Linked DNA regions of Drosophila melanogaster. The gene in region 1 interacts genetically with each later gene. Each region holds a gene or a part of one and is shown in the gene's direction. Other genes may lie near its edges. The genes, in order: Cf2, fs(1)K10 and spir.

The links.
Region 2: of Cf2 (region 1) and fs(1)K10, changing one suppresses a phenotype caused by changing the other (phenotypic suppression), as found in Drosophila melanogaster (one study listed by BioGRID).
Region 3: of Cf2 (region 1) and spir, changing one suppresses a phenotype caused by changing the other (phenotypic suppression), as found in Drosophila melanogaster (one study listed by BioGRID).

Annotation. Positions count from the first base shown.
Region 1 is NT_033779.5:4,874,638-4,887,265, reverse strand, and holds Cf2 (chorion factor 2), read left to right. Parts: upstream 1-4,158; 5' UTR 4,159-4,377; exon of another isoform or gene 4,378-4,401; intron 4,402-4,464; exon of another isoform or gene 4,465-4,773; 5' UTR 4,774-4,873; coding exon 4,874-6,051; intron 6,052-6,793; coding exon 6,794-6,972; intron 6,973-8,069; coding exon 8,070-8,245; coding exon of another isoform or gene 8,246-8,410; 3' UTR 8,411-10,156; downstream 10,157-12,628. Other genes in the region: CG3008 (uncharacterized protein), read right to left, coding at 1,757-2,875, 2,927-3,619; smog, read right to left, coding at 12,182-12,379. UniProt on the Drosophila melanogaster protein: Transcriptional regulator; binds to the promoter region of Cp15. Also binds to its own promoter, thus having a probable autoregulatory role.
Region 2 is NC_004354.4:2,237,457-2,248,710, forward strand, and holds fs(1)K10 (female sterile (1) K10), read left to right. Parts: upstream 1-4,681; 5' UTR 4,682-4,852; coding exon 4,853-6,148; intron 6,149-7,000; coding exon 7,001-7,096; 3' UTR 7,097-8,585; downstream 8,586-11,254. Other genes in the region: kz (kurz), read right to left, coding at 617-717, 778-980, 1,043-4,050, 4,112-4,303, 4,372-4,446; Or2a (odorant receptor 2a), read left to right, coding at 8,775-9,917, 9,988-10,038; crn (crooked neck), read right to left, coding at 10,241-11,254. UniProt on the Drosophila melanogaster protein: May be involved in localization of sqd to the oocyte during oogenesis.
Region 3 is NT_033779.5:20,307,873-20,317,665, forward strand, and holds the start of spir (spire), read left to right. Parts: upstream 1-3,346; 5' UTR 3,347-3,947; coding exon 3,948-4,542; intron 4,543-8,132; exon of another isoform or gene 8,133-9,089; intron 9,090-9,422; exon of another isoform or gene 9,423-9,751; intron 9,752-9,793.

The DNA of each region.
Region 1 (12,628 bases):
ATTATTGCTTTGACTTGTTATTCGTGCTTTTTTCGTTGCCCCACAATGAAAGCTGGTTTTCAAGTGCTCCTTTAATTTCGAAATTCCACGAAATTCGTACAATTTCTTAGAAATCTTTGTACAAGATAACTTGAAAGATCATTGCTGACGCATAGAGATAATAATAATAATATCATAAAGTTAAAAGGATGCTATAGGAAATATGTATAGAACAATTCTTGCTACTTAAGTTTTAAGTTCAAAACATTTTCACAGTGTTTATTATTTTTCGATTTCAAATGCGAATGACACATTTATTTCGCCACATGATTTCGTTTTATTGGGGAACATACATACATATGTATGATATTTTATACAGCACTGTGTTGGCAGCTCCAACTCGTGTTTTTGGTGCGTCTATTTTCAACCTCCATCCCCACGCTACTTGGCTCCCATTCGGTTCCCCTCCCTTTCGACGCTGTGCATCACCATCACGCGAAGTCGGGCCCCCTAATGGCGTCTATGTGTGGGGCGCCGACTTACATATAGCCACAGATATATACATATGTATGTATATTACGCATATATGTATGTGGTGCTGTAGCACTCGTATCACAATTTCAAGAGTCGCTAATAGAAGGCGATTTGTTCAGATCTGCTGTTGCCAACGTCAAGTGGGCTGCACTCAATCAGAAATCAAAAATAAATAATATTTTCCGCTTGCAAGCGCCGCAAATAAACAACAAATAATAGATGGATTCACTGCAGCGTGTGCTGATGATCGAAAGAAAGTTCCATTTTGATTGACGGGTGCACAACAACAGCGAATGCGAATCAATTGAAATTGAACTCAAATTGCAGATGCTGTGGCGGAAACGGAAATTCGCATCTAACGGTTTTCGATTTGAAAGCCAAAAATGCAACGCTGTTTTTGGATCCTCTAACCTTAAAAATAGTATTCAAAGAAATGGGTCACAGAAATCTAGAACTGTTTGCAACTATTATTTAATCAAAACACAGACACAATTAAGCGAAATATATATTGTTTTTAAAGTTCCCTAATGATAAGGAAGAGTAAGCCAAAGCAGACTTTGAATCTCTAGCTATACTGAACGCAACAGAATCATTTACAATATACATATATGTATACGCACTGAACTGCTCGCAACTGGATTCTGACGTCACACTTGAACTACAATATTTTGCAAAGTCCAGTTTCGCAAACGCATCCAGACTATTCTCGGACAGATAGATGTACTAGTTCCGTCAGATCGACAACCCAGAATCGTGTGCACTGGGTATGGCATTTTTATACGTAATCATCTGATCGGAGATTCGATTGAACCGACAAATCTCCCAATTAATGGGGAAAACTGCGCACCAAATGAGTTCAATTGTCGGGTTAGCTGATTCGGAAGATGGGCGTGTGGCCATTGAAGCCTGACATTTGCATTAATCTTAATTGATTAATAACGATTCAAGATCAAAGCCATTAGGAGAAATATCCGTAACAACATGAGTGCAACAAATGCAAATTGGAGCGCACTACAAAAAAAAGAGTTGAAGGTTACCCAAAAAATATTTTAAATAAGTTCTAAAATACAAAGCAAAGGTTTCCATGGGTGGAAAAACAAAACAATTTATTCTTTTTTTCGAGGGATATTTTATAGTCAAGTTACTTGACTACAAGCATCATATCTTTTACTATGGAATCTCTGTGACCAAACTGTTAATATCAATTTAAAACTAAACTAAATGAGTCCACACTTTAGAAGTTTCAATGGTTGGCAGTTTTGTTAATCTTTTCCTTGTCGTCACTATCATTCTCATTGTCATCGGTCTCTTGATCCTTATCCGTGTCGGTTTTGTTATCGTTATTATCCTGCGCTTGCTGCAGAGCCTTTTGAGCAGCGCGATCTTGTTGTGATTTTTCCCAGGCCAGCTCAAAGGGATACTCCAAGGGTTTCAGTTCGTCGGGGCACTCCTCCTGATTCGGAGCAGTGGCTTGGCTAATGGAAGCGCCACGCGTGTGGATCTGCTCCAGCTGAGCGGCGGTGTGGACCTCTGAATTGAGACCCGTAATAAACTCGAACAACTGCTCCTTGGTGTAAATGTTGGGCAGGCCGCGTCGTTCAAAGAAGTTAACAATGTTGCCGCAATCCCTCATCAGGAACTCCAGGGCACTGGGATGCTTCGGTTCGACACTCTGGGCCACGTCAATAAACCAGCACTTGCCCTCGAACCAGAGTATGTTATATTCGCTCATATCGGCGTGCACCAGCTTCGCCTCATTGTACAACTTGTGCATCGCGGCCACAATCTCTTCGTAGGCGCAACTCAGCTCCGCGTCGCTCAGACGGGCATCCTTTAACTTGGGCGCAGCGTTATGATTGTCACCGATGAACCGCATTACCAGCACGTGCTTCTTCAGCACAACAACGTCTGGAACGTTTAGGCCAATGGCTTGCATCCTCATCAGATTATGCATCTCCTTCTCGGCCCACATATTGATAATCACTCGGTGGTTTTGTTTGCTAAAGCGATCCTTGAACCGATAGTCATCCTTGATGTATCTATCGCGCTGCTTGAACTCGTTGAGCGTGGTTTTAAAGATTTTAATGGCACACTCCCGGGGCAAAAGCTGCGGTGGAACGAGCACACCACTCTGGTGACCATGCTCGTTGCTGCCCGTATAGTTCGCATCGGAATTGGCGTGCAAGATGACCGCCTCCTTGCCCGTGGATATAATGCCGTTGATCTGCTCCAGTATTTGGTTATTGATCAGCTTGTACAGCAGCAAACGTGTACCCGCATCCAATCCCATCTCCGCGGTGGCCACTTTCTCGTGCTTGTCGGAGCGGCCTCGTCGAGAATGGGCTCGTAGTTGGTTAAACACCTGAAAGGTACGTTTAAGTCTTATTATCGCTTAAAACTGACCGCTTCTAACCTTATTGGAGAGCTTCATGTCGAAACCGGCAGCATCACCGGTGGGAAACTCCGGCGGAAAGGACATCACGCGCTGGGCATTACGCACGGCGCACAGCTGCGGATCGTGCTTTGTTATCATCTCGCCCTCCTTGTTAACTTTAAAGCCGCAGCGAGGTATGGAGTCAAGCTGCCGTTCATTGTCCTCGAACCGATCCCAGTCGTGCTTCTGTTGCTCCAATTCATCCTCTTCGTAGTCATCTTCCGCGGTGTCGTGCAAGAACTCTGCATCGCCATCACGTAGGAACTTATTGAGGGTAACAGTGACCTTGGATTGCTTGTTTTGCTGCCGCTCGATACGACGCAATTCCTCATTGTACTCGTGATCGAACTGGGACTGCAACAGCTGGGCAATAACTGCATCGCTGTCTTCCGGCAGCTGAATGTCCTCCGCTACGTTTCCTTCGTCATTGAGGAGCGCAGAGTAATCCTCCCAATCCTCCGCATCACTTTGGATACTCTGCGCATTGGGCGCTGGCGGGGATGAGGCTTGCGACCCCCAAACGGGTGCTATCTGTTCGTCCGGTCTTTTCAGCTTCTCCGTGTGGCGCTGCAGCTCCTTGTCGTGCAACTTGTGGGCATATTGCTCCGACATTATATCCGCCAGATTCACCTGCTGCACAGGCTCGCTGGTCTTAACCCATGGCGACGACATTCTGCACAATCGAAAGAGAGTCAATATAGATCACAATTTGGTGCTGTGATTCCACAAACCTATTGGAACTTGGCTTGAGAAGATCGAGTTCTATATCGGTGGTAATTGTGGCAGTTTACAAACAAGCCTCTGTCCAAATCCTGACCAACGGCGGGTTGCAGGTGGACTCTGATATGTCCGCGGTGGAGGACAAGTGACAGTTTTGGCACTATAGATGACCAATATAAGGGGAAGCCAATTGCAACCCTTGTTGCAATAATATTTCTATTGTATTTCTCCAAACAATCCTTTTTCCAATTGTTGTGAAATTATCAGCTTATGAAAGTATCGAGCTATCGCAGAACGATAGACCCGATAAATTTGGAAATAGAAGAACTCCTAATATCGAAAGCTTTGCTTACAATTTTTATAACGTTAAGTTAAAGTTATATTATACTTTAATTTGCATACTTAGAAAACGTTTTATTTGTCATATTTTAGGAAAAGGCAGAAAAATATATCGTTAGCAAGGGCGTTGCCACATCGTCAGTTCTAGAGCGACGTTGCCATCGTAGTTTCGATGCCAGTAATCGATACTTTTTGTTGTAGTTGTACATTTTTCGCCAAAAATAATAATAAAAGTGAAAAATTTTTTTTGTTAATATACGTTTATTTGTTGTACAAAGGAGAAAATGTTATTAAACTGATTGGCCGCCCCAGCATTTTCGTGACCCCCGCTCCAAATACAACAAAATCGAACGGCCGCCAGCAACAACAAGGTGCAGTAAATATTCAGTGCGCTGGTAAGAAAGATGGAAACAAAACGAGAGACCGAAAAAGCAATCAAAATAGAATTCCGAATTTAGAATATGACAGACTGAAAAAAATTTTCAATTCGAACGCATTGCCGCTGCTGCTGCCCGCTCCTCTTCTTCTTCATCTCCTCCTCCTTCTTCCTCTTCTTCGCCAGCCGCTGTGGGGGGACATTGGGGGTCAAATGCAGAAGATCGGGACTGAAGATTTCGTGAATTTGTGATTTCCGAATTCGTTCCTGCTAATTTGCGACTGCCAGACTCAAAGAACACACACACACATACACACCAGCACACACCCACACGCTTGCACATACATTCGCTTGTGGCCGCCTGTAATTATGATTTTTATTACTCCTGCAGCGCATATCGCCTTCTTTAACCGCCAATTGCTCCTGCTCCTGCCCACTAACCAAGTCAAACCAAAAGAAGCGATTACTCTCCAAGCGCCAGCGGAAGTGAAATGATAAAGTCCACCACGAATCCACAGGAACAGCGTCTGCCACGCCCCGAGGATCAGTCGCCAGCGCCGCCGCCGCCGCCCCCCTCCTCAGCCACCACCTCCACCGCCGCCCCAGCCACGCCCACGCACCAAGTGGCCACCGTGATAGCCAACATGGACACCCTGAAGACAGCCTTTCTGCCCAATCTCAGCATGGACCCCAATGTGCACGTGTCGCCGCACTATTGTCCCATGTGTCACCAGCAGTTTGAGCGACCGCAGCACGTCGCGGATCACATGCAGCTGTGCCACGGGATCACGCTGAACGCCCAGGGAGCCATTGCCACGCTGGACGGCGGTCATCCGCAGGCACAGCAGCACCCCAAGCTCAGCCACCCCTGCTTCAATTGTGATGAAAAGTTTGGCAACGCCGTCGATTTAGACGAACACCATCGGCTGGCCCATCAGACGCCCGCCTTCCTGTCCCGCTGCCTTATGTGCAGCATCTATGGCATCCACTCGGCCACCCAGCAGCCCAACGAGTACAAATGCACGCAGTGCGGCTCCATTTGCACCACCGCCATGCTGGCTGCCGGACAGCAGGGCTTTATGGAACAGCAGGAGGCGGCGGTGACGCCCGACGATCAGCTGCCGGCAATGGCGCCCCGTGATATGAGACTGACGCCCGAGGAGCAGCACCATCAGCAGCAACTGCAGGCGGAGCACCACCATCAGCAACAGCACCAACAACAACAACAGCAGCAGCAGCAGCAGCAGGAACTGCTGGAGCAGCAGCAGCGTGAAATGCAGGAGCAGGCGCAACAGCAGCAGGTGCACCATCACCAGCAGGATCAGGATCTCGCCGGCGACCAGGTGGCGCTGAAGGTGCCACCACTCACCGTCAAGCTAAACAAGAACGCCAACGGTGGCGCCATTGTGTCGCATCCGCAGGTCATTATCAAGGAGGAGCCACTCAGCCTGAGCGACAGTGGTGATGTTGTCAACTCTGTGCCTGTCTATGCCATACAAGCCAATCCCGGTGTACCCGCTCCGGCCAGTTCGGGTGTGCTAGTCGGCACACAAACGGTACCTGCCGATCTGGCGCACAAGATCCGGCACAAATGTCCGGATTGTCCAAAGACCTTCAAGACGCCCGGCACGCTGGCCATGCACCGCAAGATACACACAGGCGAAGCAGAGTAAATCCATTTTATATGCATCTTACGGACTGGGTATTCCGGCAATGATAGCTACTGGACAGCGACTTTAAAAGCTCTAGTCGAGTAACTGGCATTTGATGATCTTATAGATATTTTAATGATAGTAGTTAGTTTGTTAGTTAGTTAGAAGTGATGGGATATTGTCGTGCAAAGAAGAATTTATAAAATATTGATAGATATAGTATAGATCGCAGTGTAATCTCAACAAGATTAAGTGTCTTTGCATCCAGGAAAGCTTTCAGTTGCAATGCTTTAAGATAAGAATGCTTCCTAGCTCATTGCCGGATTACCTGTTATTCATTCCAAGGCATTGCCCGCTCTAGCTCAAAGGGGGGGATACCCACGTAGTTTTTTGTGGGTCTTCCTTTGCGACTGGGGCGGCGTGATCGCCGAACTAACCCCAATAATCTTACCACCTTGTATATATATATATATATATATTATTTTTGATTTCCTTCGGGCCAGCTGGGCGCATGGGCGCGCCCTCGAAGCTCTGGGACGAGGCCCATGCGTTCGTGTGTCGTTTGTTTTGCAACTTATTTTTAAATCGAGTGTTACTAATAATATAATTTAAATTTCTTTCTTTTCTCCCGCGCCCACTCTCTCTCTCTCTCTCTCTCTGTATCTTTTTCCTCTCCGTTTCTGCGCGGTATTTTGTGAATATGAATATAAATAATTGTTAACTCTCGAATCTCCACTCTCCGAACCGCAACTCCGACAGCGCCACGCCCAAAGAACGCCCCTACACGTGCTCCTACTGCGGCAAGTCCTTCACTCAATCGAATACACTAAAACAGCACACTCGCATACATACAGGTGAGAAACCATTTAGATGTGGCTATTGTGGCAGGGCGTTCACTGTTAAGGATTACCTGAACAAACATTTAACGACTCACACGGGTGAGAAGCAATATTTTTCAAATCAATTCAGTCAGTCAATCAGCTCTCAATCAACTCAACCAATCAATCGACTTTTCAATCAACCAATCAATCGATCAGTAAATTGTCACCTCAGCGTGATGAGCAAAAAAAAAAAAAACAGCAATACTCAAAAAAGAGAAACCTCTGTATGCAAGTCCATTTCCATTTGCCATACACAAACTCGCTCAATCTCTATCAATCAATCTCGATCAATCAGTACCAATATCAATCTCTCTCACCTCTGCCAGTCGTCCTGCCGAAGCTCGATCATCAGACTCGAGCCGCCGCAGCGGCTGCGCAGAAAACCACGCCCAAAAAAGGCGGCAAAAATCCCCAACCTAATGGCCAAGATTCAGATCTGGCCAGGATGTCACTTGCTAGATTATATTCTCCGTTAATTACAGTCTAAATAATCGAATTATAGTAATTAGTGAGAAATTGAGATGATTAATGTGAAATCAGTGTGCAATTAAATGAATAATATAACGTTTCGATTATGTGTGCTTCTATATTAAGATCTTTCATCTTGATTGCATTGCAAAAGCTTAATTTTAGATTATAATCAAGCGTCTAGTTCGAGTTTCTATTCGATTTCCAGCAAGTGACATTCGGGGCCTTGAATTTTTGCCGCCTTCGATTAGCGACAAATAACGAATCGTATGAGTCACAGTTTACATACCCTCACAGAACGAGAAAATATGAAAAGATCATCAACTATTTTTCAGCAAAAGCTTTCTGTGAGGGTAGCCAAGCAATATGATAATCCAAATCCGTATCGCCCGCCGCCTCATCTCATTACGTAATAATATTTCTCGAATGCATTTTAACAAACACCAACCAAATATATACACACATTTAATATATAATCAATATATATATATAGTTTGATTACGTGCAAAACCTATTTGATATGCATACATATCTACTCTACCCACACATCCACCACTCTCAGTCAATCAATCAATCAATCAAACCTTTGGTACTGCACGCACCAAGCAAACTGGCTAAGTGCTAGCGACATGTGCTAACCGAGTATCCCAACTTTCTCCGTTTCGCCAATCGTGGCTGTTTTGCAGGAGAGAAGCCGTTCCACTGCGGTTACTGCGAGAAGTCCTTCAGCGTGAAGGACTATCTGACCAAGCACATACGGACGCACACCGGCGAGAAGCCGTACACCTGTCCGTATTGCGACAAGCGCTTCACGCAGCGCAGCGCCCTCACTGTGCACACGACCAAGCTGCATCCGCTCTAGGGAAGGCCGGGCGGTGGCCGCCAGTTACCCGTTCCTGCCCCAGCCGCTCCTCCTCCTCCTACTCATCCTCCAAATCCTTCTGGTCCTGGTGCGCCGCCGCCGTTGTCCGCCGACACGGATACAGATCCCAAGAAGCCATCTGCGGCGGCTGCGGCATCGGCTTAGGACGAACTGCAGCGGAAACGGGATGAGCAAACCATAAATGAAAGACCATTTCAAAGACGAGACACACTCACGTAGACGGGAGTTATGCAACTGCAGCGGATGCAACAACTGCAACCAACGACTGGCAAATCTCTTCGCAGTGCTGCTAGATTAAATTACTAAATTAGATACATACCTTCAGTTCGGTTAACACAGAAGCAGAAGCAGAAACAGATTTGTACTAAATTAGCATACAGTTCGTAGAATGTTTAAGTTATTGCAATCGATTTTTGATTCTTATTACTATTTGGTTATGTAGATGTTTTGCAATTTTTATTTTTTATACACCTATGTATATCGTATATAATATTTTGTTATTCTATGAGATTTTATATGGTGACTCCATAGCGCACACTCACTTACGCGCGGCGCTATACAGACACACACACAAACACACACACACCCAAAACTACACACAACACACATATATTATTTATAAAGAGAGAGAAAATATTTTTACTCATATACTTTGTGGCAATATTATTTTTATTACTTCCTTAAATTGTTTGTAAATGTTACTGAAAGCAGCAAAACAAAAAGAAAAAGGTAAACTCATGTCTACGCGCAAAACTTAAATTATTTTTATAAATTATACATCTATTTTATTCGAACTCAAAACAACACAAAATTATTTATTTTTACGTGAAAGAACGTTTTTCAAAATTTCGACTCGTAGCGGAAATGACAAAGGACCAATACGAAATTTAGTCATTTCTCAATTATTTGCACACGAGCAGGATCTCGTTTGTTTTGGCTTTAAAAATTTATTTACTTTTAATTAACTAAATGATCTAATCATTTTAGCTTGTTTTTATTGATGAATGTTAACCATTGTTTATTTTTTAAATTATTTAAGTTGAAAGCGCTGCTTTTGTTTGTTAAACTAAACTAAACTAAACAGTGAGATTGTATAAAACTTTAAAAAAAAAAGGAATAACGAAAAACATAACTAAGAAATTAATTTTACAAAATTTGCATTTTTTAACGCAAAACAAAAAGTATTTAAGGCAAATCGAAATGAGAAATCTACGCTAAACGCAACACAGCTTTATGCGCCAAACTAGAAGATTAAAAAAAAATTAACATAACGATCTACACAATTGATACTTTTGATAAAAAGAAAGCTTCAAGTTGTTTTTGTAATATATATAAATATGGATTGATCATTTTTACGACTACTTAAACGCGTTTTTTTAAACCAGCAAATGATTACTTGCAAGAGTTGTACGTACTAAAATCGACTAAAACTTAAACTAAAACTGTAGCAAAACCAAAACCATGTACATTTTTATAACATAGTGTTATATAATTATAAAGTATGCAAATATATAAACCTGTATCTAATATTAATGCATAATACACTCAAACAAATTGTCTACCTAATGGCACATAGCACAGCAACAAACGATGCGCAGCGCATGTAAAACCAAAATAAATTCTAAGTACTAAACTATTGTAATTCTTTAAGTTTTAAATAAACCGTGAAGAGTTGACGATCAAAAGCAAACAGCAAAACGCTAAATGCAGCAAAAAAAAAAGAAACGCCTAACTAACCGCAACACTGAAAAAAAAAACCAATTAACTCTGCTGTAAGTGATTACCAATGAATGAGTCATGTTGAATGCGATACGTACTAAATAGCGACTAACTATTAGTATTAGATCTTAGCCACGAATCCAAAAACGAAGCCAGACAACAGACACACAGAAACAGAAACACGAACATGAGCAAGTGAGTAATTAGAAATAAAATTGTAAAATTTATTATTATTAAATATATAAATAGATATTACGATTATAAATGTATGTACGTGCAATCTAAATTTACGTGACAAAATCTAGCAAATATTCGAGCAATATTTCAATTAAAACTATATGAAAAGGAATTATATATATACAAAATAAAGTCCAACCATGTAGAAAGATTATATATACAAACCGAACAGGATCTTTTATATATGTATATCCTATATGTAGATGGTTTCCCAGGTCTGTCTCGAAAATCAAGGACACATTTGATGATTTAGTTCAGTTTATTTAGGTTTTGTTTTCCATTTTAATTACAATGAACGAATATTATGAACACTATCACACTTTCAAAATGTATTCGGTTTCACTTTTCCAATCGTTTTAGTTTTTTGTAGTTTCCTTTGCGCCGAGCCACTAATTTAGTTTTTCTCTCGTTTTTGTTTTATTGTAATGCTGATTACACTCATATATATATGTATATATATTTATATATAATATAAGTTAGTTATATGTTTTATGTATATGCCATAAATATTTTTTTTATACACACACTTTTGATCAAACGCAACCAAAAGTTGGTTTTACTTTTCTTTTTTCTTTTATAATTAATTATCATTTTCGGTTTTGTTCATTCATTTTGTTTTAAATGCTCAATTTGTTGCATGCATGCTGTAAGTTTACCTAATTTAACCATTTGCCATGTTTTAATTTCTATATATTTGTTGTAGTGTATATAGATATACTTTTCATAACCCTTATAAATGCCCATGTAACTGTACTATATGTTTTCTATGGACTTGTTTTCCCCCTTCTTTTTTTTTCTCTCTTGTTTTTTATAACGAGCTCATCCAAAATTTATTGCGTACATTTGAAATGTTTTCACTTTGTGTTTTTTTTTTTTCAATATTCTAACACGATCTTTTTTCGAGAATAACGAATTTAAGATGTTCTTGATTGGGATCTACAAATTTCGGAGGAAATCAGCAGCTAGTAGTGAATAATACTTGAGTTTTTGAGTTTGTTGGGCTGGGTTGAAAAAAAAAAATATGCACTTTAGCCTCTATTAAGCATTTTCCTATGGTTTTCACTCTCGTTCGGGAACTGTGTGTTTTGAAAATGTAACAATTTGCGCTTTCGTCCTCGTACATTGTGTGTATTTACAGAAAGTCTAGCCCATTTTTAGATTTTGTATGGGAATGAGTGGAAATTACAAGTGTATAATATATAATACAAATACACTTTAGTTGGTAAGATTAGCAAGACGTAAGACGTACGATAGTTAATGAGGGGGGAATTGCTAGTTTTATGTTAATGCCTATAAGCTCAAATTTACAACTGATTATTCGCTGATCGAAAATGATCTCAAGATCTCTATCATTTGTTTAGCTTTAGTGTGGATAGTGTTGAAAGGTTGACTTGAAAGCAAATGGTTAGTAACTAACTGTCGAGGAACTTAGAGGTAAACGAAAACGCGTGTTTTAGGAATGGGTTTGTTTTTCTTAGTGTATGTGGCCTTGTTTTTACAGTTATATCGTTACCTACACAGGTGGGCTCTGTTTTACCGATCTAAACGTTTGAACAACTTTGATCTATCAGTGATCCTAATCAATCGAAATCAATCGAACTCAAGACTGACAGAAATCAACGTAAACTAAAGTAAAATCGTCTAAAAATTTATCAAAACTTTATAAAACTTCTTGGCTGCTTTCAAGGTTCCTCACTTTACGTTTCATTGAAAAATAAAGTAATATTTGTTATTGTTTGTGTTTGGTGAGTGTTTGTTGCATCTCCATTTGCATCAATCATTTTCCTGCTGGTTTTTTTTTTCTTTCTTTGCGAAATTAAAGTAATTCTTTTATTGTTTGTGTTGTTGCGCTATATAATAACTATTTCTCACATATTATCTACACATACCAACGTGTATCGTACCGTTTAATACCTATATACAATTCTCAAATATCCGCCATGAACCAGCAAGGACTCCCTACTTCGAATGCGAGACCACGGAGTGGGAGACCATCGAGTGAGAGAGCATTGAGTGGGACACGCCGGAGATTTCCGCATAGGTATCCGTGGGTCCTTCGGCACTGCACACCGAATCCTCGGGCGTCCTGGAAGGTTCCGCCTCGGTGATCTCGATGTCCTGATGATGCTTGTTGCTGCGGTGTTTGGCACTTAGAGCCTGCGAATTTGAGATATTTTAGTGGGTCACATGGACAACTGGTGGATATGTGTTTTCTCGTTGTAGTTTCGTGTGCAATCTGTTTTCGATAAGACTTATGTGGTGCTATCTATGGGACGGACACATGCACACACACACACACACACGCACAAGCTGGTGGTTTCGGGTTCATTGGGGAACTTTGGGTCTAAGTTTATAGACAAACGTGCGAGAAATTCTTTTGATTTAGTCGTTTTGTTTTGGATTTTA
Region 2 (11,254 bases), on another chromosome or scaffold:
ATATTAGACTGATTTTTTCTACACACATTTGTAGACGTATGGTGGATGACATTTGAGAAGTCCCAGCCAATTGCCTGGGGGGGGAGGAGTTGCAGCAAACGGAGTCCTAATCCCAATCCCAACTAGCGATTTACATGTACATATAGGGAAGAGCGAAGCTAAGCGAACAAAGCTACAGTTGTCGGCCTATCCGAATCCGATCGTTCCGTTCGTTCGATGAGTATATACCATATACCAAGGCGTATACACACTATATAGCCACATGCCCAATTAGCCAAATCTCTCATTAACACAAGTGTAAATGCTAATTTCTCACCAAGAGCAGACAAATTTTCTTACGATTAATTACCAAGAGACAAAACCAACAGACAACAAAAAACAAAATACAATGAATATTGATTATTTCTATGTACATATATGGATTGTATTAAACATTTATCGAAACTAGCTGTTAACAAAACATTTTTATTCCCCCTCACTCCACTCCATTTTTTTAGTTCCATTTAAAACAAATTTCATATTTATATTATACATAAAAATTATATAAATATATATCAATTAAATAAATAATAAATGAAACTTGTTATACAAAAAAACCCCCTTTTATCTAGCTTTTTTACTGGCGTTGTGGCTCTTTCTTGTCCACCGGTGGCCATAAAGGCGTCAGTTCGCTAAGCGCCACGTCGTAGAGCAGGTTCTGATACTCCTCCAAAAGGACTAAGAAGAAACGGAAGATTAGCAAAGAAATTAGGGTTCGAGAGACTGGGGTAAACTTACAGTGAGGATCGCTATTCCATTGGTCGATCAGAGCCTGGCGGTTATGGATCTGCTTGGTAATTAGAGCGCGCTTAAAGCGCAATACCTTGTTGTTCATACTGGACCAGCTCTTGATTACGGAGGCGGGTGTGGACTTTAGTTTGCTCCGGAAGTCTGCTAACCTCGAGCAAACCTCTCCATCCAGCAGAAACATTCCGAAGTAACTGAAACCACATGATTAGTATGATCACTTATCTAAATACCCAACCTTTAAAAAGACACTCACCAGCAGGCCTTTTCGCTGAGCGGCATCTCCACTTCCCCGAGAGGCAGCTCCCACCCCGACTTGCCAAACGTGGCATCCACGTGACAGAAGATCTTCCCTGATGTTTTATCAAATCTGGGAGCAGGATCCTCGCGCACCTCACGTATGTTGCAGAGCAGGGGAACGTATAGAAGAAGCCACTCCGGCTCAATGGCGGTGATGCCGCGGATGAACATCTTGGTAGAGTCGCCGTTTTGCAGCTCGTATGCCTCCTGATAGATTACCCATTCGGGTGCTTTTTGACGCAACACGGATGAGACGTGCAGGAACGCTGGTTCCTCCATGTCAGCACAATTGTATGCGTACTTTAATCGCCGCCGCTCTTCCTTGTCGGCGATGTCTGCCAGAGGTACCTTTCTAGCCACCCGGTCGCCCATGCCGGCCAATAGAATTTGGCGAAGGAAACGCGCCTGGGCATCGGTGGGAGGCTTCAGTTCGGGGTCCACACCCAGCTCAACGTCACTAACATTCAGGTTAATCTCGTTAGTCAGCTGGACGCGCAATTTTCGCACCTCGCTCATCGCTTTCTGGCGCAATCCATTCGCAGCACAAAACTCTGGCAAGCGGCCCTGCGATCCGGCGTACTCTGCAGCTCCTACGGCACGTAATAAGACCATAGGATCTCCAAGCAACTGATAGTTGCCGCTGGCCGCCCAACTTTGGCGTTTGCGGTGGAACCGATTCGCGCCAGGTGCCACATCCTCATCCCTTTGAACGCCCGTTTCGATTAGCACCTCCTGGACTGAAAGTGCGGCCACCAGGCAGACGGTGTAGGGCAGTAGGTTCTGCTGGTGGGACAGAGCCAGCATTTTTCCAAAGCGCGGCGCCACGGGAAAGCGGGAGATAACGTGACCCAAACGAGTAACGGCTGGTGGCAAATCTGTATTCTCTGTCTTGGCGACCTCCAGGGCACCTAGCACGATCAATCGCCGCTCGGCGGCTTGCAGCTGCACTTGATCCGGTGGTGAGGGAAAGGGAAAGTGCACCACGCGATCGATGCCCATGCAGCGCATTTGCAGCATAAGGTCCTCGACGGGCTTTTTCTGGATATCCGGCTGGGAAAAGTCCTCGAAGCAGTCGTTGTACACGGCACTCGAGTAGAGGCGATAGCAATGTCCGGCGCTGATGCGACCCGCTCGTCCAGCACGCTGATCCGCCGAGGCCTTAGACGTGTAGGTTACCACAAAAGCACTCACACCCGTCAGTTTGTCGTAAAGACGCGTCTTCTGGCGACCACAGTCAACAACATACTTGATGTGCGGGATGGTGAGAGATGTCTCTGCCACATTGGTGCTAACCACGCATAGCCGGCAGCCATCGGGAACGGGCAGGAAGATGCGGTTTTGCTTCTCCGAGGAGAGGAGCGAGTAGAGCGGCAGGACCCACAGAGGTTGCCTTTGACCAGATCCCATTCCCGACTCATCCTCCAAGCCTAGTTCATCGTCGTTATCCTCTTCTAGTCCCTCCTGCTCATCATCCTCATCCGGCTGCTCGTGCATGTCTGCTTCCGTATCATCACCAGGGAGCTTGTAGTCGTCCAAATTGATTTTGGGTAACGCCATTTGCGCCAAGAACTTTTTCTTAGATTTACGAATATTACGTATAACTCGTTTCATATCAAACTCCAGCTCCTTGGGATCCTCCACAGTCGATGCCGCATCATCTATTGTTTCCTCTTTTTCTTCCTCCGATACCTTTCCATTTTTAGCGACATCCTTGGTTGGCGCATGATGATACGGAAACGTACGTCGCAGCTTGCGCACCAGTTGGTTGACCTCCTGCTGTCCCGTCACAAAAATTAGTATGCCGCCTTCCGGAAGCTTATTATGGATTTTTAAGGTCTTGCGGTAAGCCTCCGCCACATAGTCATCAGGTGTGCGCTTCTGGAAGTGAATAGTCACCGGAAATTGTCGAGCCTCCACTTTAAGCAACGGTGGCGGAATCTTAAACAAGCGAGTATTCTCTGTAAAATCGGATACCCGCAAAGTGGCAGACATAATGATCAGCTTCAGCGGCTGCCCGCGTTTGTGACGCAAGGGCACGATCCTTGACAGGAGACCCACTAGGATGTCTGTGTAAACACTGCGCTCGTGCGCCTCGTCCAGGATGATCACTGAGTACTTACTAAGCAGAAAGTCAGTTTCGATCTCCTTAAGCAACACACCATCTGTCATGAATTTAATGCGCGTCGCTGGTGTTACGTTTCCCTCGAAGCGAATGAGGTATGACACCTCGCTCTCCGGCAGGTTCATCTCGTGGGCCACCCGCTTGGACATGGCAATAGCAGCCACTCGCCGCGGCTCCGTCACTCCAATCATCTTGTGCTGGGCATACCCCGCTTCGTACAGGAACTGCGGTAGCTGGGTAGTCTTTCCAGAGCCAGTCTCACCAGCCACGATCACAATGGGGTTTTCGTTGATTGTCTCCATCACCTGCTGCTCCTCCGCGAGGATAGGCAGTCGAAGACGGGCATTCTGAACTTCTGTTGTCCGATGTACGGGCACATAGACAGTCTGGTGGATACAGGCAGGTGGGTTAGGCTCTGGCTTCAACTTTTTAATGGGTGGTTTAACAGCGATTTGCGGTGGAGCTATAGACACTGGAGTGGGTATGGCAATAGGAGCGGATTGAGCTGGTGCCTCCTCATCGTCCTCATCAGAGGATGAAGAATCTTCGTCATCTTCCTCCACGCTAATTACATTCGGATTCTTTCGCTTGGCCTGTAGTTCCTCCTCCTCTTCGACGAGAAGCTTGCGCTTGGAGCCCTTTATAGCATTTACGCGGAGACCCGACGCCGAGCTTTTTTCAGCTAAAACTTGGGCCTGTCTTTCCTTTTTCTTGGCTAGATACTCGTCAAGGGTGGGTAGACGCTTTAATCCCACGGTTTGCACTTGGCTAATGGAAGTATACTGCTGCAGCTCCTCCTCCGGAATTTGAACGGCAGCAAGGTCACCCAACAGCTGAGCGCGCTAAATTAGAAAAGATTTCAATTAAATATCAGTTTTATATTAGCACTGAATAAAAACCTACACCCTCTTTCTTTTTCTTCTTGTCCACAATAGCCTGGAGGTGCTTGCGCTGCTTCTTGGAAAGGATCTTCACGTGTTGCACTTTGTCCACCTTAATCTTGGTGGCCCGCTTCTCGGAGGGCAGAACCAGAGCGTTGGCCTCATCGTAGCCAACCTGGTTGCCGCCGGCCACAGCATCCACATCGATCTGAATCTGTAGAGTATTGGATTTGGAAAGGGTAAGAAAGCGGATTCGAGTGTGTGGTCCGACGGATGACCTACCTTCTTCACGGCCGAGTTGTCCACAATTGTTTGTGGATTCTGCCGCGCCTTGGCATTGTGCACCTTCTTGCCCATGATTACTTTACTTTACCAATATAGTTAATAAAATAAAGTAACAGAATTAACTTTGGGCAATAATATAAACATTGATTTAAATCACACGTGCGAAGTACGCTTATCGATAACAGCGCAGGCGATAACAAAAGTTGAGATACTCTAAAATGTGCTGTGATGTTACATTTGTGTTAGTGGAAACATACATTAGTGGGAAAAACTGATTGTTATAGTTGTTCACACTCCTTCGACAGCACTGGTATCGAAACGTTATCGCAATCGATTCATCGTAATATTTTCAATATAAGTTTTTGTGACAAATAGGCGTGCAACATTTTAGATCCATCTGCTCCCCGCCTGTCGTTTCGGCTTGGCTCCTCTGCTCGAGTCCTGAACCCCCGTTTTCAGTGAAATCCAGCTACCTGCAATGGTGTCCAAGAACCAATTCTATCAGAACTGGACCATGCAGTCGCAGCAGCAGCACCCGCACCAAATGCAGCAACAGTTTCAGCAACAGCAGCAGCCAAATCTGCAGCACCGCAACAACCAGAGCAACAATAATAATTGCAACAATAATCCCCGCGCAGCTGCGGCTCCGTATAGAAAACCGTTTCGTTCGGGCAAAATTAACTCCGGACCAGGAGGAAATGGGAATGGTAACAGGGTCAACGGTAACAATCAGATGATGTTTTCCTCCAGCCAAATGCCGAGCGATCCCCTGTACATTGACTTCAGCAGCCCGCCACCAGGATTCAAACACAATCAGGTAGGCAGTCCCAAGAAGAAGTCTATGAAGGGCATCAAACAGCAGCAGCATCCCAGTCCGAACCAGCAGCAGCCTCCCAGTCCGAACCAGCAGCAGCATCCCAGTCCGAACCAGCAGCAGCATCCCAGTCCGAACCAGCAGCAGCATCCCAATTCGAACCAGCAGCAGCATCTCAGTCCGAACCAGCAGCAGGGCAAGATGAACAACCAGAACAACAATCATATGAACCAGTCGCAGCAGCCCTTCAACAATCAGATGAACGGAAGCGATTGGCAGCGCCATCCGGGCAACAATCCCAATCAGATTCGCGGTGGCTTTAATGGATTCCAACGCGGGCCGCCTCCGAACCGTCCTCCTCCACGCCTCATGATGGGTCCGCCAATGGGTCCGATGGGCCCCGGACCACGGGGACCCGGACCGATGGGCCCTGGAGGACCTTACCCGCAAATGCCTTTCCCGCCACCGGTGCCTGGTATGCGCGGTCCCGGACCCATGGGCCCCATGGGTGGACCACCACCGCCGCCGCCACCGCTCTTTATGCGTCGCAACGGACCCGGTCCAGGTCCTATGATGGGTGTCCCACCGCCCATGCACATGATGGGTCCACGGATGCCGCCGCGGGGAATTCCACCGGTCGGACCTTATGGACCAATGAACATGAATGGCGGCCGGATAATGAAGCCCAATCCCAAGCTAATCAAGCAGGTGGTGAAAGGCAAGAGCAGCATAAAGACACTAAAGAACCTGATCAATCAGTATCCCATCGAAAAGCCCTGGGTAACGGACGAGATACGCAGCGAGCACGACAAGAAGGTGGACATCGAGAACAGATTGAAGGGCCACAAAGACGACGAGCTCTTCGCTCAGTACAAGGGCCAGCGGGACAAGTTCGTTAGTCTCTACGAAGCGGCGCGGGAAGAGTATCTCAAGCAGGAGGCAGCCACTGTCAAGGCCAAGGTGAGCATATAGAGACCCCCCAACATATCCTTATTCCCTTGGAACAGGTGTCCCATCCGAAGCTCTATTCAGGGAGGCACACCGATTCCGGGTACAGTTTCGGCTTAATCCGGAATCACTTTGCACCCCTGATTTGATCCGTAACCCCCACCCGTCCCTCTTTGTTGCGTTTGCCGGGCGGTAGGAAAAAAATAAGAGAGCAGAGAAAGTGAAAAAGTAAGTCTCAACCTGATGCACTCTCTCGCATTATCCTGCAGTCCTGCGGAAGGTTGTTGTCATATCTATTTTCACCTTCGGTTGTTCCCTTGGCACTGATATATATCCGCAAAAGAGAAACTATTGGCATATATTTACAACCATAGATTTATTAGGAACTGAACAAAATTGTGTAACTATTTAGAACTGCAATACAATGTGTTTACTGCCACCTTGTATACAAATTTAAAAAACTAATAGAATTTTGTACTGTTCGATCGTGGCAGGCGTAGTAGATTCATAAATGCACTCTTAGTAACTTAATATTCTTAATTGAACGAGCCTCAGTACTGAATCCTATGGCTGTTTTCATTTTCCAATTTGGTTGGCATGTGAAAAGCGAACTTAATGAATTTTAAACTGCCAGAACATCAATTTAGTTACTTAATTAGCAGATATAACCCAACTTATGAAACTCATTGCATATGAAATGATAATGATTTGAGTGATTAATGTTCGTGGGCGTAGTTATCTGGAAATAGCCAAGAGAAGTTCGCAGAATGCATTTAATAGCGAAAACAGATCTGAGAGCTCTTTTTACACACTCAACAACCTTGCTATTGAACACCGTTGGCAATTCTCGTATTTCTTTTGCAGGATGCCAAGTCAGACAAAGACAAAAACGCAATTTCAAGTCAGAGCGCAGCCCCTAAGGCCGGAAGCGCTAAAGATGCAACAATTCCAAATCCCTAGGCAGCCAATGCAACCGAATCCGAATACCGAATCAATCGAATCGAACCGACTAAAGAAGAGGTCGGTCGACTCACAGAACTAAATGTAAACTTAAACTTTAAACCAATGAGCAATTCAAAACTAAAACTAACAGCGAGCAACAGCAAGAGTCTGACAATTGAAGACGAATATAACTCAAAACCCCGACTCCTATATCGGATATACGTATACACAATCGTAATCCGAGGAGGCGCCGCCTTTGTCACACGTTGCTTTTGCGACTGAGAACTGAGCTTAGAACGATAATGTAGCAACAAATACAAACCCAGCGATAATAATGTGGGCGAAACTCTAGTAATAGCGATAAAAATTTAGATTGCGAATCGATTCACTTGTCTAACGTAACCTAGCGTAACGTAAAGTAGAGTATTGAAATGTAACCGTAACGTAACGTAACGTACCAGTTTCCTATTCGAAAACTATTTGTTGTTCAATTCTAAGTTGCAGCCATTTCAAGTATGTGTACACAATTTATGACACGCCCTTACCTATATATGTATGCATATATATTGATATATATATATATATAAATTATTTTCCTATTCGTTGCCCGAGTGCGTGGGCGCGACATAATTGAAACAGAGTGGCCGGATCCTAAGCACTCTGGCATAAATCACACTGTAGGCCTTAGATTACACCACTTGATTGTATTTTTAAATTAATTCTTAAAAACTACAAATTAAGATCACTCTGTGAACGTGTGCTCGATGGTGTGCATCTACGGATTTGTTTTTGTGTTCTTTTTCCCCACCCAACCCCGTCCCTGACCCAATTCCGCTGTTCTCTTTACCGACTTGTAGATTAATCACGCTCTTGATCTTCATGACCGGATCCACCTGACAAGTAACGCCAAAGCAGCCCCACTTAGCGGAATAGTAGAGCCTAGGGGACCCAACGTAAAAACTCTAGTATAGCACCAATCTCCCAACCAGTTAACATTATACCTAAACCCATGGTCAAGAGTAAACATTTCTGCCTTTGAAGTTGAGAACACAATTAAGCATCCCCTGGTTAAACCTGACATTCATACTTGTTAATAGCGCCATAAACATAGCACCAATTTCGAAGAAATCAGTTAAAAGCAATTAGCAATTAGCAATTAGCAATAACTCTGCTGACTTCAAAACGAGAAGAGTTACAAGTATTTGTAAGGCACAGTTTATAGACCACCGACGGCTCGTTAGGGCTCGTCATGTAACTAAGCGCGGTGAAACCCAATTGAACATATAGTGGAATTATTATTATCAATGGGGAATATTTAACCCTCAGGTAGCAAAGTAATTTAATTGCAAATAGAGAGTCCTAAGACTAAATAATATATTTAAAAATCTGGCCCTTTGACCTTGCTTGTCAGGTGCATTTGGGTTCAATCGTAAGTTGCTTCTATATAAACACTTTCCCCATCCCCGCAATAATGAAGAATACCGCAGAATAAAGAGAGATTTGCAACAAAAAATAAAGGCATTGCGAAAACTTTTTATGGGGGATCATTACACTCGGGCCTACGGTTACAATTCCCAGCCACTTAAGCGACAAGTTTGGCCAACAATCCATCTAATAGCTAATAGCGCAATCACTGGTAATCGCAAGAGTATATAGGCAATAGAACCCATGGATTTGCCCAAAGGTAACCGAGACAATGGAGAAGCAAGAGGATTTCAAACTGAACACCCACAGTGCTGTGTACTACCACTGGCGCGTTTGGGAGCTCACTGGCCTGATGCGTCCTCCGGGCGTTTCAAGCCTGCTTTACGTGGTATACTCCATTACGGTCAACTTGGTGGTCACCGTGCTGTTTCCCTTGAGCTTGCTGGCCAGGCTGCTGTTCACCACCAACATGGCCGGATTGTGCGAGAACCTGACCATAACTATTACCGATATTGTGGCCAATTTGAAGTTTGCGAATGTGTACATGGTGAGGAAGCAGCTCCATGAGATTCGCTCTCTCCTAAGGCTCATGGACGCTAGAGCCCGGCTGGTGGGCGATCCCGAGGAGATTTCTGCCTTGAGGAAGGAAGTGAATATCGCACAGGGCACTTTCCGCACCTTTGCCAGTATTTTCGTATTTGGCACTACTTTGAGTTGCGTCCGCGTGGTCGTTCGCCCGGATCGAGAGCTCCTGTATCCGGCCTGGTTCGGCGTTGACTGGATGCACTCCACCAGAAACTATGTGCTCATCAATATCTACCAGCTCTTCGGCTTGATAGTGCAGGCTATACAGAACTGCGCTAGTGACTCCTATCCGCCTGCGTTTCTCTGCCTGCTCACGGGTCATATGCGTGCTTTGGAGCTGAGGGTGCGGCGGATTGGCTGCAGGACGGAAAAGTCCAATAAAGGGCAGACATATGAAGCCTGGCGGGAGGAGGTGTACCAGGAACTCATCGAGTGCATCCGCGATCTGGCGCGGGTCCATCGGCTGAGGGAGATCATTCAGCGGGTCCTTTCAGTGCCCTGCATGGCCCAGTTCGTCTGCTCCGCCGCCGTCCAGTGTACCGTCGCCATGCACTTCCTGTACGTAGCGGATGACCACGACCACACCGCCATGATCATCTCGATTGTATTTTTCTCGGCCGTCACCTTGGAGGTGTTTGTAATCTGCTATTTTGGGGACAGGATGCGGACACAGAGCGAGGCGCTGTGCGATGCCTTCTACGATTGCAACTGGATAGAACAGCTGCCCAAGTTCAAGCGCGAACTGCTCTTCACCCTGGCCAGGACGCAGCGGCCTTCTCTTATCTACGCAGGCAACTACATCGCACTCTCGCTGGAGACCTTCGAGCAGGCAAGGCACAATTATATATTCAAATGTCCTTTGATTTGATTCAAATATGATATGATTCACTTGATTCCAGGTCATGAGGTTCACATACTCTGTTTTCACACTCTTGCTGAGGGCCAAGTAAGAACTTTATAATCTCTTTTTGGGGAGAAAAATTTTAAAGCACAATAGCAGAAAAATATATCAGATAATATAACAAAAAAAAAGATCATTATAGTTTTTTATTTAAGTGGTTTATTACTAAGGTATCCAAAAATAAAGCGAAAAATCTGCAATTTCAGATATTTAGCTTTGTTCAAAAGCAACGATTTTTAGGCGGAAGTGAATCAGTCACCGCTATCCGTCGTATCCGCTGGGGCAGCATCAGCTGCAGGTTCTGGCTCAGATGCAATAGCTGTAGCGGGCGGGTCGTCCACCGTGTTGTCTTTTTGTGTCTTCCACATCTTAGCTGCAGCCAGCAACTTGAGATTGGGTCGAGCCATTTCGTCCTCGGGAAAGATGTAGTCGAATACCTCCTCCCAACCTTCCTCGACGCCATTGTCCGAGACGATCTTTTGCCGCTTCTTGATGCGCCGCGGCATCTTGTCCATTACCTTTTGCATCTCCTGCGAATCGGAGGCGTCGCGTTCAAAGTCGCGCCATGCCTCTAGCAACAGAACACGCGACTCCTTGTCTCCCAGCTGACGCAACATCTCGTTGGCTCGCTCATAGATTCTCCTTGCCAGCTGCACGTTCAGCTCCGCATCTGGCCCGCTGTCGCCGTGGCTGAGGCCCATCTCGAACTTGGCAAACGACATCCACACTTTCACATGCTGCGTCCGCTCAAGGAGTCGCTCGTAAAGCTGTCTGGCTAGCTCTGTTTCGCCTAGGGCTACCTCGAAGTCGATGTACGCCTTCCACAGCAGCTCTGGCATGTCCAGGCGCGGCTGCTGCACCGCCAGCTCGAAAATGGCTCTCGCCCGGTCCGTGTCGCCCAACAGATTCTCCAGCTCGGCAAACTTCATCCAAGTGACACAATTCTCCGGTCCAAACTCCAGGAACTTCTCGTACAGCATGCGGCAGCGCTCGAACTCACGCAACTGAATCTCCAGATCAATATAGCCTCTGAAGAGCTTATCTCTGGGACACATGCCGATGGCCAAGCCCAGAGCTTTGCGTGCTCGCTGCAGCTCCTTGCAGCGGATCTCGAATTGGGCGTACAGCAGCCAAAGCTTGCTGAAGGTGAACTGCTTGTGAGGTATTAGCTCCAGACAGGTCTTGTAGATCTGCCGCGTGCGTTCCGCGTCCTCCGCTTCAAGCTCCTCGTACAAAGCATAATTGATCCAAAGGTAAATGTAGCG
Region 3 (9,793 bases), about 15 Mb from region 1:
TTTAAGTGCCTCGTTGGCACAGTTTTTGGTCATTGCTGATATCGACTCTTTAGTCGCGAATTTGTCAGCATTATCGGCGTCTAATCCGCCGTCTATGTAAGCTGCCTCGAGCTGCTTACGCATACTGTCTATTTCTGTAACATACTGAGACGCGGTCTTGCCTCTTTGTTGGGCATTTATTAATTTGGCCTTTATAACGTCAGGCGATTCGCCTTTTACGTTTGCCTGCAATATGGTAATTATTGCCTGTATCGTTGTCGCATGTTCTACTTTATAGTTTAATGGGCCAATAATTTTGGTCTTTATGACCTCTACTGCTAAAGTTTCTTGATCTCCTTTAGTTAGATCCGTCAACTTAAGTGCTGTCACAAACCTGTTTAAATGGAGTTTCTTACCATCGAATTCAGGTACTGTGGCAGATACCTGTTTAACGTATGCTCTCTGAGCTTCTAATGCGTTGGCCATGTTTCTTGTATTTGGTTGTACGGTATTAAATTTTAATTCTTCTATTGATTCGATATCGCTTTCGATATCTAAATCTTCTAACGGCTGCGACTCGTCCAAGTCTCTTAACTGGCTTTCGTCGAATTCTGCTATTTTGGTTAGTTCTGTTGGGACTTCTATTATAATACTGTGTCTAACGCTGGTATTATGTAGTCTTTTACCAAATGAACTGAGAACTTTGAAGCATTGGACTTTATGTTCTTCAGTGAGTTTGCTTTTGTTTGTTACTATTAGGTTTTGTAATGTGTTGTATTGTGTTATCAATACCTTTATGTGAAAAATAAGCGTCTGAGTTTTGATCAGCGCGGTTTTATTAATACATTTATAGGATTTATCAAAAGCATCTCTAATATTGTTTATGGATATGGTTAAGTTTAGCCATTCCATGTATGTACCTTTTAGCGATGTAATCGCACTTGTACCTTTTTGGTGTAGTTTCTATTAGATTTTGTCTAAATCATTGGCTCGACTCATGTAAGTCTTTTCAACGATCTTTTGTGAAACTGATAAAGTTTTAAGGCCAGGTTAAAAGGCTGATAGGATAACTAAAATCAAAAATAGTAAGTACATTGAATTTAACTGTGGGGTTGTATCCACGACTTATGTCCCATTTTGATATGGGGAAAATTAGTCTTTATTTGTATATCAAAAGTACAAATAGAATTTTAACTTTGAGAATTGGTCAATTATTGTTATCTCGATCAGATATAAATATAGCTCGAAATTTTAATAGGTCTAAACTGTTGTTAAACATATTTTTACTTGATAGATGAATTCATTATACTCAGTTTACATCGGTTGCAATTTGCAATTTTACAATATTATTACTTATTTTAAGTTTAGGACTGAGTATAATGTGTTAGTTATGAAATGGGTCCCTGATAAGTTAGTAATTTTGTTGCAGCGGAAACCGCATCGACAACATTAATATAATATTTGGGCGGTTGAGGCTATGGCGTATAACGCAGCCCGCCGCTTTACTTCGCACCACGAAGTTGTTGATTGATGGCTGCAAGGCGCTCTTTGTAGCGCTGCCGGTCTTCCTCATTAGTTGCCGTCTTCAGTAGTTCGATGTTGAGCCTCCGGGCGCTGAGCAACTTAATCCGGCGGCCACCCCTCTTCTTTTTAGGTGGCTGCTCCCTCGCTGCAGTCCGTGCCTTGTACTCTTGTATGGTCAAGGGCTTTGGTCCCGCGGACGGATCTACCTCTATTACCTCTTTGATACTTGGCAGATCCCTTTGCTCGACAGGAGCAGGGTGTTCGAACGTCTGCTTGGTAGACATTCGCTGTTGTCATGTGCGGCGCGCCGGTGGAATCCTTTATCCTTTATCCTAATCCTACCCTCGCAGGATGCCGTGCTAATTGCTGTTGCGGCTTACAATGGTCGAGGGCAGTCGTTCATGCAGACGTCGGGTCTTTTCGGCTTGGGTGATGTTGAATTTTCAGTTATTTCTTCATTGATTATTTCTATTTTTGCTGAGTGAGTTGTGGTATTCGGCTTTCTTTGCTGGAGGTTTTCTTTCAGAAAGTCTAATTCGGCAGTTAATTTCGGTGCCGTTGCCCATGGGGGCGGTGTTTTATTTGTATATCATAGCCACTTAATATGTGCTATACCTTTATTTTTGATTTCCTGACATCCGCGTTTGCCCATTACCACACTCTACTCACTCAGTATTTTTGTTTCTTTTTTTTTTCATCAGTGTCCCGTCTCTAGGTCTCCCGCACTGGTGTAAGGGGCGGCCTGCCTCTCACACCTGTTGTCGCTGTTTAGAATTCCCAAATCAAATCGGCAATATTAGCAGCATTTCCTCAGTAGTCCTCAGATCGCAGGCTCCTGCCTCACGGTCGCCATGTAATAAACCAATATATGCCACCAATTGAGAACACGTGTTTTCCTTGCAGTTGGGTGCAGCCGTCAGGCCACCTTTTTATTTCTTCTTATCTCTTCGAGTAGCAGAAACGGTTCTGCCCGCTTAACCTCTACAGAGTGTCTAATCTTACCTAAATACTGCGACTGCGCCGCCGTCGACAGCGGCAGAAGAGCAGCGTATATATATATGTATAAGAGAGAGAGAGAGAGAGCTTATGCGCATATATGGCCAGCGGCCAGCGTGGGGATGCTGACTTAGCTTAAAGCATAAATGGGTGATCTTATATCACGCTCACTTGAGACATTTATTTATGCAATGCAACTAAGTGTTGCTGTGTACTTATAGGTACAGTGTACCCTCGATATATGCACATACTACAATATATTCTTGTAATCAATGTTTATATTATGTAAATCAGCTGTCGCTCCCCAAAAATTCCTTAATTCCAATTAGAAGACAACGAAAAAATTTCTCTTTATTTACGAATAAAAATTGTCCCTCAACTCCAATTGGAACGGCTGATCCGTCAACATTTTAGTCGGCAACACTTTAGTCTGCAACATTTGGGAATGTTGCATCATCTTGTTGCTATGCATGTTTCCACGGAAAAAGAGAGTATATCATAACAAGAGACCATTCACTTTTTTCGTTTTGAAGCAACAAATTTGAAAAGAGAAAACTTTATGTTTTTCCCGCGGGCTTGTTTGTTTTTTTTTTCTCGCTCTCCGTCGAATTGACTCTACATTTTGATGTGATCTTATTATTAGGTGAATCAGCTGTCTTCAAAAGAACAGTTTTAATTAAAAAAAAAATCCCTCAATTCCAATTCAAATTTCATTTAGAACACAACGAAGATATTTCTCTTCTTGTACGAACAAAATGCTCTCTTAACTCAAGTTGGAACGGCCGTTCCGGCAACATTTAAGTTGGTAACATTGTTGCATGCTGCATGCATTTGAGCACAAGAGTGTCATTTACGATTAGCAACTCGCGGCGAACGGACGTGTGTAAAAAATAGCCGGTGAGAAAAAACGAAGTGCGATTGCCGAAGAAAAACAGAGAGATTTCAAATAATAAAGAAATGCAAATGAAACAGAAGAAAATAAAAATAAAGCAAAGTGCGTGATTTCCATCTCCTCAGTGTTGTGAAATTTCTAGCAGAGTCTAACGGCGATTTGCGAATGCCGACTTAAGAAGTGCGAAAACAAAAACGTGACGCCAGTTTAAAATATTCTCAAGCGAAAATCATGTGTTTTTTGTTATACCCTGTGCTTTGTGTTTAATGTAGCTGACGACAAACAAAATATTAGAATCGTGTACGTCGGGAATCCGAATTCCATCCCCTCGTGTTGTGTTATTATTGTATTAAAGTTTCCTTTGCCATTTACCACACACAACACAGAAAAACAACAACAACAAAACTAAACCAAAATCGAACCAAAAACAAACCGCGAATTTTGCAGGTTAGCCCACCCGAAAGAGGCAAAAAAATCAATTATATGTTGGCCAGTGCCGGGTTTGCAGTGGAATCGGGTTGAAAGCCATCGATAGCCACACACGCCCACACACATAATGACGGAGCACCAGGCCGAGGAGCAGGCGGACACGCCGCCCACCAAGGTCAAGGCCACGCCCACACCCACCCCGAGTGGAAAGTTCAAGGACGCGAAGGAAGACGCCTTCCTGTCCACATCGCCGGACAGCGCCAACGGCGATGCCCAACACAAGCTGCCAGCGGACCAGCTGGCCATGTCCTCCAGTGCGCATCCCCAGCAGGCGGGCCAAGCCCGCCCGCTCATCCTGCAAGCCTTCCACCGCTGCTCCTCGCCAGAACAGTGCGTCACGCTGCACGACATCCTGGACTCCTTTAAGGCGCCGCTCTCCGAGGACCAGGCCTGGGCCCTGATCCACCAGTTCGCCGGGCTCTACCACCAGGTGGCCGTACAAGCGCACACCTGTGCCGCGGACTACGAGGCCGCCCTGCCCACCGGATTCGAGCTGCACTTCCATCGCGACGGCAGCGTCCACTTCTCCGGCCCGGATCAGCTGACGCCTAAGGAGCAACTGCAGCAGGAGCAGATCCCCCTCCCCCCGCAGCACGACGTGATTGTGGATCAGCCGGACCACAGCGCCAGCAGCAGCGGCGACAGCAGCGTCATCAACAGAGGTAAGCAGACCGACCTACTGAAAAATCAATATGCATACATATTTCTCACGGCTACAGTTAGCGGAAATTAATATTCCTGCAGTTTATGCCAGTTGTTTAATTAACGGAAATTAACTTAGTATGAATCTTCTATTCCTTGAATTTTTAATTTATTATTTTTTAAATCATGCTGAAAATATTTGAACTAAAATTGATCTATAGTCATAGTTATTAATGTTATAACATTTATTTATTAACGTGCTGCACACAACTGGCAATCTTTAGAATCTATATAGAAGTGGAAATGTTCAATACAACATTGATCAACTAACAATTTGGATTGATAACCTAATGAACCTGCCAACCCCAAATGACATTTTAATGTCGTTTTTCCTTACAATTATAGTAACATGTTTTAATCACAAATAATTTATTGTACATTGCACGCAAATGCAATTTGACTACCTTTAAGCTAGCAACCCGTGTATATTCTTTCGACTTTGTGTTAAGTTCTGTATCCTTTGAGCAATATTTCCTATTATTTTTTATGAGTCTTCCTAAAGATATATATATAGTTTATGTGTATTTCGGCCCGTCAGAGGTCAGTTGGGTGTTGACTTCAGATGCGGAACTGTAACAGTGATGAAAACTGGGGCTGTGATTAGCTGGGCCGGAAAACCGGTTGCGCTGATGCCTCTCCGAATGCTGAGGGGTCTTTGTCTTTTCGGCAAACGCTTTCATTTTCAGTTAATAAGCCACAGTTAACTTCTTTCTCTCGGCCTTTTATTTTCGGACATCTGCCGTGATGTGGGTTTCCGTGTGCCATCCATCTGACTATTGGCATCGCCCGGCCATCGCCAGCGGAGTCCCCAGCGCTTTCCAAACAAACAACCCACACTATCCGCCATCCGATGATGACCTCTGCATTTAAGTTATGCAGCCAGCCAGCTTTGATTGGGGTTTTCCCCACTTCTGCCTTCTGTCTGATTGCGTGCTGGCTTGGGAAAGTGTAAACGGCGACTCCCATGAAGAAGGTACCATCCCAGTACCCTATCAGCAGTGTTTTTCACTTTCTTTTGTAGCTCGGAGAGCACAAGTATCACTGGAAGAAAGGCAGGTCATGTTCGGATTGGGCAGAAGATTGAACGCTTTTCCTTGCCGCAATACAATCGAATCCAAATCTACGAAAGTAGATTTTTTCCAGTGTAACGATCACAGCCTTTCCTTTCGGCATTCCCCCTGCATTCGCTGTAATTGATGGGGGGATACTTTTTCGCCTCTCGATCTCTGAATCTACAGAACGTGTCTGAGTCTGTCTCGCAGCTAATTGTTTAATCATTCGTCTGCGCGGGGACTGTCAAAATACAGGTCGGTAATCTATCGACTTTTAGATAAGCCACGTTAATTGGAAAATGCGTTTCTGAGTGGGTAGTGATGGGAATCTTGGATTTCGTTCTCCTAGGTGGCCCTTAATGTGACTCAGCTCAGCTTTTGGTCTGCAGCATTAACTGCATTCCATTGCATCTTTCTTCGTATGGGCCTGTCTATCTCTATTTGGCCAGGCCAACTCTGCCTATAGCCGGCTTTTGTATCAGCGTGGCCAATTAGTTAGCTCTTATAGACAATTAGCCAGTTACATGGGTAATCTTAAGGGCACGCAGATACAGGAAGTTACAGTATTAATTGAACTGTGTAACTCGGAGGTGAAGGAACTATAGATGGCTGATAATGCTGTAGGAAGTCCTAGGGGATTTTAAAACCCATTTCAGTATACTACTTAAAATTCAGAAATTTTCTTTTATAAATAACTTAAAAAATGTTCTTAGCTCTTAAACCTCTGTAATTAAAGGTCTGTGATCGTCAATTTCTTATCTAAATTCACACGTAACCTTTGTTTATGCTTATCATCAGAACTTTCCTCGGGCCAAACAGAGATCACCTTGTAACACCTTAATTGCCGCTAATTCAGCCGCTAAAATCCAAGCCATTAGGTGAGATATCGAAAGGTTTTGGCCCGGGAACCTCGAGAACCGCCAGCGGGGGCAATTAGTCTGCTCAAACAAGTTATTACAGATGGGAGACGGACCAGACGGGTGGATGCCATCAGATTCAGCACCTTCTAATGGCTTTCGGTCGGCTGCTTCTGTGTTATCCGAAGCAAATACATCAAATCGGTGGAACGTTCTCGCAGGTTACATTGTTGCTGTGCGGGCTTTGAACTTGCCGCATCGATTTCGATTTCGGTCTCGATTTCCGTTGGTCTCTGGCTGAAAATCGCGCTCCATCGCCTCCTGACAACCGCATCCACGGGCGCAGCGAATCATTGATTGTGTCGAATTCGGCTCCAGACCCTCGGAGGCCATCGGAACCCTCGGGAGCACCCGCGACCATGGAAATCGGGGCGTGGGAGACGGAGCTTTTGATGGGAAAACGTCGGCGGCGCCGTCGGGTCGCCGCGCCCTCTGGCGCCTCGATTAGGCGCGCAGCAGTTTCCACAGAGTTTTCCACATTTTCACGGGCGCACCGATAAAATTGGCGCTTGAATCTGTCAACACACAAACTCGCCATTACGTTTTTCAGCAGGCTCGCAGAAAATTGGGAAATGGCTTGCGCCAGCAGGTGTTCGCTTATTCCAAATTTTCCACTGGAAAAGTCGCCCACGTATTTTGTGGAGCCTTCTCCCCAAGGTCATGGGTCATGCGCAGTTCGGAAAAATCGGAAAACCGGAAAACAGGAAAATCGTAAGCATAGTAGCATAGGAAAAATGGAAAGGGAACATTTGTTGCGGTAGGTTCTCTTCTTCCAAGTCAGCTGTTGATTGTGTTTTACTCTGTTTATTTTCGCCGCTTTTCATTTGATTCATCTCACTTAATTTGATTCTTCCGTTTCCAAACTTATTTCACTCGAAGTAATCAAAGAGATCGGAAAGAAAGCTAGAAAAAATCCCTTTTTGGCCTCGAATCATCCGCTTGGGTGATGATATGTTATTTTCATGTCTATGACTTTCTTGTTTTCACCGACAATACAAACAACTGGCCGCTCAACTGGTTTAATGTTTAAATAATTACACTAAAAATTACCCAAACAACGGTCAGCGAAAAATGGCCCGAAACTAAAAAAAAAAAAACCAAACAAAATTATAACGAAACTAAAGCTCAGCAGCAAATTGGTGCACTTTTTGTTGTCCGTTGTGTGGAGGAAAATGAAGAAAGACTCTTGGAAGTATCTTTAAATGGTCGGAGGGTAAATTGTTGCTAATCTTGGGCTTATCTCTTTGTCTGGCAAAGCTTTGGGTGGAGTCCAAATGAAGAGTTACCAAATGATAATTGCAATGTGCCGCCTATTTATTAGGCACTTCAGTGGGCTCAATTAGCCATTAGAGAGGGGCATTTTCAGATGGAGGAGTTTTGAAATGGCTTCAATTTACGATGATAAGGTCAACGATTTCTTCTCTCAATGTTTCGATTAGTGGCAGCTAATTTATAGTTCCACAGTTTCCACAGAAGCTGAGATATTGACTTTGGGAAAATGTTTTAGCTAGCCACCAAAGTTATTTCACAAACGCCAAACATTTCGATTTTGCAACCTTCGTAATCCACTCAAAGTAACTTGGAATTCGAGACCATATATTATGTTTATTTCGGATTAGGTAGCTGTCTGAAATGAATTTATTATCAAGCGGCAGTAATAGTTTATGTTTTCCAGGGGACCACACCACGTGCTCTTAGGTTTCCGCGTTGGCTTATATTTTTTTTGACACATCATAGACCCAAATTTAATTGCCAGCTATTGTGTTGACGCTCCAGTTTTGGGACACAATTAATATAATAATTTTTTCATAATGACAACAAATGACATAAGCACGACGACGAACCTGAACCAAATTTCAGAGACCCAAATGCGGTGGGCTATTTTGTATTTTGTATTTGTGTTTTTATTTTTTGGGCCTCTCCTAAACTTGTCCACCTGTGCAGTTTGCATTCGAGTTACGAAATCCGCTGACCATTGGCTGCATTTTGAAATGGAAATACTTTGTGTCGCCTTCGGACACAGTCGTAGATACTCAATGCAAGAGACTTGGGTTTTGAAAGTGCGTCGCAGACCCAATAAATCAGACGATAATCCAAATTGTGGCGCGCTTTTCCTCCGTTGTGTGGATGACACTTGTGGGGTCCATTGAGCGGACACATTTGGGGCTCAACCGATCCGATTGACCCTGAATCGCTTGTTTACGCTCCAAATTATAAATAAATTTTGATGCAATTAAACGCAATCGAAAGCGGCAAAGTCGTTGAGTAAATGCGCCCCGATAGAGCTATTTTTCGTATTCCTATCTTATCGTTTTTGTAAGTAAATAAAACACCTATATTTCGCCGCTTAATGTATGTGCTAAAGTACATATATACCAAATGTGTGTCGTCGAGTGGCAGCCATATAAACAGCTTTGACGCGGAGGTAGTCAAGAAAACTTGCTAAAAGGTTTGTTAACCCGTGTTTCCAACGAATGTGAACTGTAGAAATCTGCTCCATGGGAACCTGACTCTCGGATATGCAGTAGAACAAGCCAACTGAAAAGAAAGTGTTGATAAGCTATATTATTGTACTGTGTATACATTAGATAAGGGTCTATTTATGGGCATTTACTTAAGCTAGGGTCGGTCATTCTTAGCACTTTTGCAGGGAAATTTAGAAGCCTTGGATAGAATTTAGTATTATTTAATAAGGGGTGGAGTCATAGATTATTGTAGCTTCAAACGACCTTGTTGGGATTGGTCAAGTACACAAAAAAATAAGGAGATCCCTTGTTTTGTGTATCCATGTTCCTTTAAAAGTGGTTTGTCAGTGGTTATGTCGGTTTTTCTTCACTGAGCTCCGTTTTTAAATAAAGGTAATTTATATACCTCCAAGGTCAGCAATTATTATCCCAGTCAATCCAATCCATTTCAGTCTGCAGATAACCCACATGCATCTCATTTTCTGCACCTTCTATCGCAATCGCCTAGCCGTTTAATTGATGTATTCACGAGATACATTCATCTTCAGCCGCCGATCCAATTTCGCTTGACACATTTACTGGGGGGCGTGGGCGTCTCCGGTTGGGGTAATTCACCTTGATGGCGATTTTCCACGGGCCGCGATGACTGCGCAGGCGCAACTAAACTGTAATCGAGACTCTCGCTTTCTACGCGGCTTGATACCGCGCCTTGATGACTGTGAAATTAGACGGCGGACTGCAGATTGCCTCCGAAGACTGAAGATTGAAGACTGAAGA